Linked DNA regions of Arabidopsis thaliana. The protein of the gene in region 2 binds, or shares a complex with, the protein of the main gene of each other region. Each region holds a gene or a part of one and is shown on either strand. Other genes may lie near its edges.

Region 1 (3,964 bases), on a different chromosome or scaffold from region 2:
TCTGTGAGCCCATTAATTGATGTGACGGCCTAAACTAAATCCGAACGGTTTATTTCAGCGATCCGCGACGGTTTGTATTCAGCCAATAGCAATCAATTATGTAGCAGTGGTGATCCTCGTCAAACCAGTAAAGCTAGATCTGGACCGTTGAATTGGTGCAAGAAAGCACATGTTGTGATATTTTTACCCGTACGATTAGAAAACTTGAGAAACACATTGATAATCGATAAAAACCGTCCGATCATATAAATCCGCTTTACCATCGTTGCCTATAAATTAATATCAATAGCCGTACACGCGTGAAGACTGACAATATTATCTTTTTCGAATTCGGAGCTCAAGTTTGAAATTCGGAGAAGCTAGAGAGTTTTCTGAGGTACGATTCTTCGATCCTCTTTGATTTTCCTGGAAATATTTTTTCGGTGATCGTGAAACTACTGGAATCGCTCGATAGGTGGTACGAAATTAGGCGAGATTAGTTTCTATTCTTGGCCATTATCTTGTTTCTTCGCCGAATGATCTTCCGGATAAAGATTTTAGGTTAGAGATGAATCGTATAGCTAGATTTCATCACCAGATAGTTTCTTTGTCTAGAATCTCTGAAATTCTCGATAGTTTTCACATGTGTAAATAGATTGTTCTTATTCGGCGATTGTTGATTAGGGTTTTGATTTTCTTGATTATGCGATTGCAATTAGGGATTTTCTTTGGTTTTGTGTTGATCTTACGATACATTCCGGCAATTGAATACGTATGGATCTAAATCTTGTTAATTTGTTGAACAGATGGCTCGTACTAAGCAAACAGCTCGTAAGTCTACTGGAGGAAAGGCTCCTAGGAAGCAGCTTGCTACAAAGGTAAGACTCGGGCTCTCACATGTGATCTGAGTAGCTTGATAAACACATTTCTAGATTTGTTCTAATTGGTGGATGTTTTAATTTAAGGCTGCACGTAAGTCTGCACCAACCACTGGAGGAGTCAAGAAGCCCCATCGTTACCGTCCAGGAACTGTTGCACTACGGTATGCAATCTGTTTCTTCCCCAAATTCAATTGTGTTTTTACTTTATTGATATCGTCATTGATTAAACTCTGTTTCTCTGTTTTATTGATCTTGATTGACAGTGAAATTCGTAAGTACCAGAAGAGTACCGAGTTGCTGATCAGGAAGCTCCCTTTCCAGAGGCTAGTTCGTGAGATTGCCCAGGATTTCAAGGTAATGTGTCTGTTCGTCTGATTCAGTCTACAAATGGATTTAACTTTTTACTTGTTTTGTCATAACCTTGTGTTCTTATCTTGTCTCTTTGATTGCAGACTGACTTGCGTTTCCAGAGCCATGCTGTGCTTGCACTCCAGGAGGCTGCTGAAGCATACCTTGTGGGTCTCTTTGAGGACACTAACCTCTGCGCCATCCATGCCAAGCGTGTGACCATAATGCCCAAAGACATTCAGCTCGCTCGCAGGATCAGAGGAGAACGTGCTTAATTGTGATTGGGAAGTAGTTGGATTATGTGAATGTGGGTGGTTTTCTAAATAGATAGTTGGAATTAGATAATGGCTTAAAAAGCTTTTGGGTGTAGGAGACTTGGAAACAATGGTGTTTTTTTTTTCTTTTCTTTCTGTTTCTTGTCTAGTCGGTTTATGATTTGCTTGTGTTCTTCTTAGCTACGTTTTGTGGTGTGTATTGCTTTCTTCTTTGGCAATGTTGAACACCTTTTGTTGTTGAATTCATCTCTGAAACATATGAATATGTTAAAGTTTCTGACTCTTGTTTCATCTGTATCTGTTCGATATTGTATGATTGAGTTTTATTGTTTATCAATAAGCTTTCTGTTTCAAAGTTCTTTTCAATATCAACAACTTTTACGTTCACGAAATTGGTAATCCGTGTGACACTTAAAATCTCTAATCGTGGCCGTTGGGCTGTGTTGAGAAAACACAATGTACAATAGTTTGAACCGTAGGATAAAGAATGTGAGAAAGCACAAAGGAGCGTATCGTGATAACCCTTTCGTGAGTATTATAAATAATAATTCAACTACATTGCGGCCACAACCACTACTTCAATCATCCCCTATTACTGCTTTTGTTACGAAAGACAAAAAAACAAAACAAAACAAAAGTCAGCTCAGGCGAAGAACAGGTATGATTTGTTTGTAATTAGATCAGGGGTTTAGGTCTTTCCATTACTTTTTAATGTTTTTTCTGTTACTGTCTCCGCGATCTGATTTTACGACAATAGAGTTTCGGGTTTTGTCCCATTCCAGTTTGAAAATAAAGGTCCGTCTTTTAAGTTTGCTGGATCGATAAACCTGTGAAGATTGAGTCTAGTCGATTTATTGGATGATCCATTCTTCATCGTTTTTTTCTTGCTTCGAAGTTCTGTATAACCAGATTTGTCTGTGTGCGATTGTCATTACCTAGCCGTGTATCGAGAACTAGGGTTTTCGAGTCAATTTTGCCCCTTTTGGTTATATCTGGTTCGATAACGATTCATCTGGATTAGGGTTTTAAGTGGTGACGTTTAGTATTCCAATTTCTTCAAAATTTAGTTATGGATAATGAAAATCCCCAATTGACTGTTCAATTTCTTGTTAAATGCGCAGATGGCTCGTACCAAGCAAACCGCTCGTAAGTCCACCGGAGGTAAAGCTCCAAGGAAGCAACTTGCTACTAAGGTTTTGTTCCTTCTTGTCTCTTTTTTCAAATAATACTTGTGTTGTGAAGTTGAATGTTAATCTCCTTCTTTATTAACCTCAGGCTGCTCGTAAATCTGCACCAACTACTGGTGGAGTCAAGAAACCACATCGTTACCGTCCTGGAACTGTTGCTCTCCGGTTTGTCCCTTCTTCGATTTGTATGTGATTCTTTGAGATTATGTAACATTGTGTGTTAACATTCCTCTTATCTTTTGGTGTTCAGTGAAATCCGTAAGTACCAGAAGAGTACTGAGTTGCTTATCAGGAAACTGCCATTTCAGAGGCTAGTCCGTGAGATTGCTCAAGATTTCAAGACTGATTTGCGTTTCCAGAGCCATGCTGTCTTAGCTCTCCAGGAAGCTGCAGAAGCATATCTTGTTGGTCTCTTTGAAGACACTAACCTTTGTGCCATTCATGCCAAGCGTGTGACCATAATGCCCAAAGACATTCAGCTCGCTCGTCGTATCAGAGGTGAACGCGCTTAAGCCAACCAAGAATCCGAGATTTGGTTCAAGTAGTTTTTGTTTTTTATGAAAGCAAGATCTTAATTGCTGTGTTTTTTAAATCTCTGGGTATGTAGTAGTAAGAGTAGTAAGAAGTCTGCAATCTAAGAATGTTGTGTTCTTTAAGCTTATTATTATGTGTGTTGCGAACTCTTTTTAACTCTTTTGTTAAATTCTTATGTTTTCTTAACTCGTTTGTTCGTCACCATTGCTTTCTCTTCAAATAATGGCTGATTTTTTTCTATAATTTTGGATTTGTTGAATGCTTTCTTTTAAAAGAATCAGATTTTGGACTTTTGACCAAAGAAAATAATAATATCAGACGATAAAATAGACGGCTCTCGATAAAACTAACCCTAAAAATAAGGAAATAAGTTCCTCTTTGAACCAAATTTTCTTTCTTTGACCAATAGATCTTTTTGTCAACCTCTTAAATATATTCTTAGTCAATCTTCTAATAAACCCATTGGCCATTACCAAAAATTCCTCGGAAACGCTGAATAAAAAACATTCTATCATCTATGGGAGAAGTCGATGAGAAACCGTCCATTGATGTAGCTTCTCCAAGGTATTCATCGAACAAAGTTGCGGATATTGGTACAGAGCTTTACAAAATGAAAGCTTCCCTTGAGAACAGAGAAAACGAAGTCGTTTCTTTAAAACAAGAGTTATTGAAGAAAGACATCTTCATCAAGAATCTTGAAGCTGCAGAGAAGAAACTGCTTGATTCGTTTAAAGATCAATCGAGAGAGTTAGAGGAAACC
Region 2 (5,194 bases):
GAATATACAGTTACCTCAGAGTGAATCATCGTCTGACATTCTGGGATTTTCTGCCTGCATCATGATTGGAGTTGATGGACAGTACCCGATGAACAATCTGAAGATACACTGCTCTTGTATATTAAAAGATGCTGATGCTTGTGAGCTGGTTGTTATGGATGAGGTGTGGTATCCTGATCCAAAAGCTTTCACAAACATGTATTTTGGATCAGATCACCTTCTCTTATTCAGCAGAACCTGCACGTCCATGGAAGCTTACAGCGAAGCCCTGTTTGAATTCTCAGTCGAAAACACAGAAGGAGATTCCTTTAGCCCGCTTGGAGAGGTTAAAAAATGTGCGGTACACCTTATATCACTCAAAGACATGATGCAAGAGTTCTCTAATGACTCTGACAAAATTCAGAGTTCTGATTTGGATCTTCCAAAGGCATTTGATGACGCAAGAATTTTGAAAAGAAGAGCATATGAAACTGAGTTCTTGCATAAGGAACAACTAAATCCCAAGAGGATCAAGTTTCTTCCAGTTCCTTTGGCTCGAGAGCGTCATTCCAAATTACATCAGCGAAATGTCATACGAAAGTAAAAAAAATTACTTGGTTTGCTTGTAAACATAATTATTATATATTGATTGATCACATATATTTTGATAACATCAACATATCATGAACTTGATCTTTGAAGAAGCAAGTACAAGAAAACTTCCGCTATAAGAAGCAAAGGTCCAAGTAACAAGATTTACTATGATAGAGATAGAGAGTGAACACAACGAACCCGAGGAGATAAATTACAATCTGAAACCTCCCGGAGACGCGATACAAAATCCAATTGTCGCTACCTCGACTCTACATGTTGCACTGCTAGAATAAAGAAGCCATCTAATCTTTTCTACCTACAAGGGCTGTGTACAAACAAATTCTTACCATTCCGGATGATTTAAGGCGTTCGATTGTACTTGAGATGTTGCTCATAGAATTCAATCAGCTGGTGTGGGAAAAACAAATTAGAAAAGCTAATAAGAAACTTCCAAATGAGTAAGTGCAGAAAAAAAAAGCTATAAAGATAATCTTACGAGATGAGGATTGTGAGCCTTGAGAAATCTGTTGTCCACCAATGCTTCCTTCCCATCAGACCTATGAGAGTAACCAAATAAGTACAATTGTACAAATATGAAATCAAATTACGAGAAATGACCAAAGAGCTAAAGAGACAAACCTCAGCGCTAAAAAGGTCACCAACACTTCCTGGACATTGTCTGATACAGATGCTGTAAAACTCATTGGTTTAAGTATCTTCGTGATGTCCAACTCCTCAATCTTGGTTTTCTGAGACAAATTACAATTTTCCATCACACCAGGATATTCATTCCCCATCCTTGCAATCCTACCAAAAGAGTCTAATGTAGTCAAATCTGGTGTCAGATTCTGATCTGTAGGTGCTGTGTGGTTGTTACTTGTGGATCCATCTTGTTTGAATCTTTTCACAGAACCAGACTTCCTCCGCTTAGCACCTATGAAACGACTGTTCTTATCAAGCTCCTTAGGATAAACCTTGAGAAGGCCATTGGGTCTTACATTATCACCTTCAGAACCAATGCCTCCTCCTTGAGAACATCCTGCACCGTTACTATTGTTGACTGGTCCTCGTAGCTCGTTAAGTGTTGGATCATATTCTTTCTCATTGTCAATCAAACGAACTTGTCGGGCCATCCCAACACTCCCACTGTTGGCTTCAACTTGGTTGGATACATAAGCATTCTTCGCTTCCACATCTCTATTTAATAGACTCGAACCGCTTAGGTCTAGTGGATCAGGAATGTCAGGAAGGCTAGAGTTGTTGAGAGACGTAGAAGAGTCAGATTTCTCAGTAGCATCATGTGATGTAGATGTTAAACGTTGCTTCTTCTTCATCTGAGAATGAGGACCTGCATATTTGCGCTTCCGTTTCCTACCAGGCTTTCCTGGCTTCAAACTTTGAAACATATGAAACAAGAAAGCAAATCCATACATTAAACCAAGAAAATCCATGAAACAATCAATTCAAAAGTATCACAAAACTTTTATATAAGATTCCATTTACTTACCTTCCCTCAAAGGCATCTATAACATCAGCAATAGACTGGAGATTCTCTAAAGGCTCCCATGTGTTGGCAGTTTCAGGCCATCCGCGCCTTTCACAACCGAGTTTATAACTTATGTCAATGGAAAAACATATGTTTAATCAAGAACAACAAACTTAAAAATGAAACCAAGTAAGATTAGAAAAACTCACCATTTAATTAGATACTGAACCTTGCCCTACAAATACAAAAAAAAAAACAGTACCAAAATGCAGAATCAGAATCATTCAATCAATCAAATCCAAGAAGATATCAAACATTAAAGATCATTTTCTTCCTACAACATATAACAACCACAGAATCAAAACTTTGGTTCGTTATAAACTACTCTGTTACGATGATTACTAACTACTAAAGCAGCCACTTTCTCACACCAATGTGTAACCTACGTTTGATACTTATCTTAAACCTAGAAAACCTAAAACCTCAACTAATTATGGTTAACAAAAACAAACCACATTTGCTGAGTGAAGACGAAAAAAGGAGCTTACTTTTCGAACTCTCTTACGACGAATAGCTTCAATTTCATAAAACCCTTCATCAAGCTTTGGCCTTTCCTCTTGCCCACCTTCTCCTTCTCCTTCTTCATCTTCCTCATCACCTCCATCATCTTCATCCTCGTCCTCTTCTTCTTCTTCATCTCCATCCTCCGTAGGCCTATCATCACCAATCTCGCGAAGAATCGACTCTCCACTTCCACCTCCACCTCCCCCTCCGCCGTCGTCACTGCCAAACCCACCGTCTCCACTAATTTTCCGGCTTTCTCCGACTGTTTCCACCGCCGTCTCCGCCTCACCAGCTTCGTTCAACACCTGGGGTTTCTTCTTAACAGCACCACTTGCCCCTTTCATTTCCTGAGTATTCGAGCCTCCCAAACCTGAAGGAGGAGGGTGAATCAAGGTAATCGCGTTCTCTTCTCTTCTTCTCCTTTTTAGAAATCAAGGATTTTGGAGGAAGAAGATGAAGAAAGATTGAAACTTTTTCTCTATTTCTGAGGTTTTTGTTTTTGCAGGAAGAAGACCTGACCTGACCTCAAAGACCAGTTTTTTCACTTTTTTGGATTCTCTTTTTTTTTTTTTTTTTTAATATCACAATAGGAAAAGTTGAATACAGCAAATTCTTAACGTTTATAATCTAATTAGAAGAGATTATTTCTAATTACTAATATGAAAATAATAAATACTACTGAAGAAAATATGTGAAGGTAAATTAAATCGAAAAATATATTAAACTGAAAACATTTTCTTTAAATTAGAAATAAAAGAACATCGTGCTCTTGCTCCTTTTACAAGGAAATCAACTAGGACATTATTACAACTTAAAAAAAAATCAAAGGAGATTGAAAAATCAGAAAATAAGTCTCATAAACTAAGATTCTCACTCCAAGTCTCCAAGTGCACTGCAAAGGCAGACAACTTAGTTGGATCTCCTAACATCATCATCAATAATTTTCAGCAATATCTCATCCAAACCAACAGAAAAGAAAGTCCTTCTCCAAGATAAACTTCATCGAGATTCAGATTCTTTCATTCCAAAGTATAGTTATCTTGATAGTAACTATGTGATTACTGCTCGAGTTTTAGCCTCAACTTTTGGTGGGCTAAAGTTCTATTTTCTTCAGTTTAGTGTGTTTGTTCTATACTTTGTCCAACCAAAACTTGTTTCTTTGTGATTAGTACTTGTACACTAAATGATGCATGTTTTGATCGCTTTGTTAAATTTGAATTGTTACTATAAAATTTGCAGTTCTTTTTTTGTTTAAACGTTAGAAAAATAATAATTACTATTATTATTTAAAATGGTGATATGAAAGAAGTAAAAAGGAAGAAAAAAAACATTCATTAGGATCGGTTCATAAATAGGGGGAAAAATGGAACGTTTTGACTTCAACATAAATAAATGAGTATTTTATTTGATGGTGAGCTTATGAAAGTTTGTAACGTTTCCTCGAAATATATATGAGAATATTTTTTTTGTAAAAATTCACGATTACAAGCACTCAAACAAATGGAATTTTTTTCCCCACACACAAAATATACATCCATTAAAAAATCAAGAAAGAAGTTAAAATTTCAAACCTCCCACAATTTTTTTTTTGTTTAGAAAGAGTATATCCGAAGAACAAGAGAACAACCTTTTTCTCTGATAAAAGAAAAAGTTCATCCTTCTTAACCTTTTTCAAAGTTATGAGAGTTGCATTAACCTAATAATGCAATCTCAACACCGATACTTCATTCTTAGGGAATGCAAAACACAACCACAATACAACATAAATTATTCTTTCTTTTTTTATAAAGAATTTCTTAAAAGATTTCTTTAAATTAACTTAGTTGTATGTTCACTTTCTCTCTTCATCTCTTGTGGAGATAGTAGTCGATTGTACAGCAGGTAAATTTAGAGTCCACGTTTTCATACGCTCGTTTGTCTTCTTAACCTGTAATTAGATAAAATTATACATTTAATATGACGAATTTTCTAATAAAAATTTTGAGTTATATATTAAAAGTAAATTACCTCCAATTCCCAGTCAGTTTTGTAAATAACATAACACAATATCAACGTTTGGATACCAACTCCAGCCAACATTCCGGACCAGAGTCCCTGCATACAATATCATTTATTCAAGTTAAAATTCTAAAAGTTCTAATGATTGATCATAATGAAGTACTGGATACCAGTTTTCATATATATGATGTACCTTAATCCCAAAATTGAAAACGTAAACAAGGAGGACACCTAAAGGAACACCAATTGCATAATAAGATGCTAAGTTCACTAATGCTACCATACTCTGCATCCCTGCTCCAATTGCTACCCCTGTTTATATATGTTCAAACAAATTTAGTGGTTACAAATTAGTGAAATCTAAAAGTTTATGTTATAATTTATTTATGTCTAATATAAGGGTTTTATTTTGTAACCAGATAGAATGGGCTGGATGATGTTGAAGAGTATAGATATGCTAAGGACGATGGAGAGATCAGCTACTGCATCCGAAACTGCTTGGCTATCAGAGAACAAATACGAAATCTGACCGCCAAACGCTAGGCAAAGAGCGGAACATATCACACCGATCAC

What was found.
Region 1: the proteins of TFL2 (region 2) and AT4G40030 are in contact, whole or in part, in a crystal structure (PDB 8XAG), measured with the Arabidopsis thaliana proteins. Residues at the interface, in NP_197271.1 of Arabidopsis thaliana: Lys102, Leu103, Asp104, Glu105, Gly106, Phe107, Tyr108, Ile110, Trp129, Trp132, Ala136, Thr138, Trp139, Glu140, Asn144, Leu145; in NP_001078517.1 of Arabidopsis thaliana: Ala26, Arg27, Lys28, Ser29, Ala30.

The regions. Positions count from the first base shown.
Region 1 is NC_003075.7:18,555,058-18,559,021, reverse strand, and holds AT4G40030 (Histone superfamily protein), read left to right. Parts: upstream 1-2,117; 5' UTR 2,118-2,194; coding exon 2,195-2,278; exon of another isoform or gene 2,279-2,520; intron 2,521-2,604; coding exon 2,605-2,676; intron 2,677-2,758; coding exon 2,759-2,835; intron 2,836-2,920; coding exon 2,921-3,182; 3' UTR 3,183-3,404; downstream 3,405-3,964. Other genes in the region: AT4G40040 (Histone superfamily protein), read left to right, coding at 786-857, 945-1,021, 1,124-1,214, 1,313-1,483; AT4G40020 (Myosin heavy chain-related protein), read left to right, coding at 3,722-3,964. UniProt on the Arabidopsis thaliana protein: Variant histone H3 which replaces conventional H3 in a wide range of nucleosomes in active genes. Constitutes the predominant form of histone H3 in non-dividing cells and is incorporated into chromatin independently of DNA synthesis.
Region 2 is NC_003076.8:5,826,571-5,831,764, forward strand, and holds TFL2 (uncharacterized protein), read right to left. Parts: upstream 3,191-5,194; 5' UTR 2,968-3,190; coding exon 2,608-2,967; intron 2,295-2,607; coding exon 2,269-2,294; intron 2,189-2,268; coding exon 2,081-2,188; intron 1,969-2,080; coding exon 1,213-1,968; intron 1,131-1,212; coding exon 1,070-1,130; coding exon of another isoform or gene 1,052-1,069; exon of another isoform or gene 982-1,051; coding exon 934-981; 3' UTR 601-933; downstream 1-600. Other genes in the region: AT5G17680 (disease resistance protein (TIR-NBS-LRR class)), read left to right, coding at 1-583; AT5G17700 (MATE efflux family protein), read right to left, coding at 4,455-4,550, 4,631-4,717, 4,815-4,933, 5,038-5,194.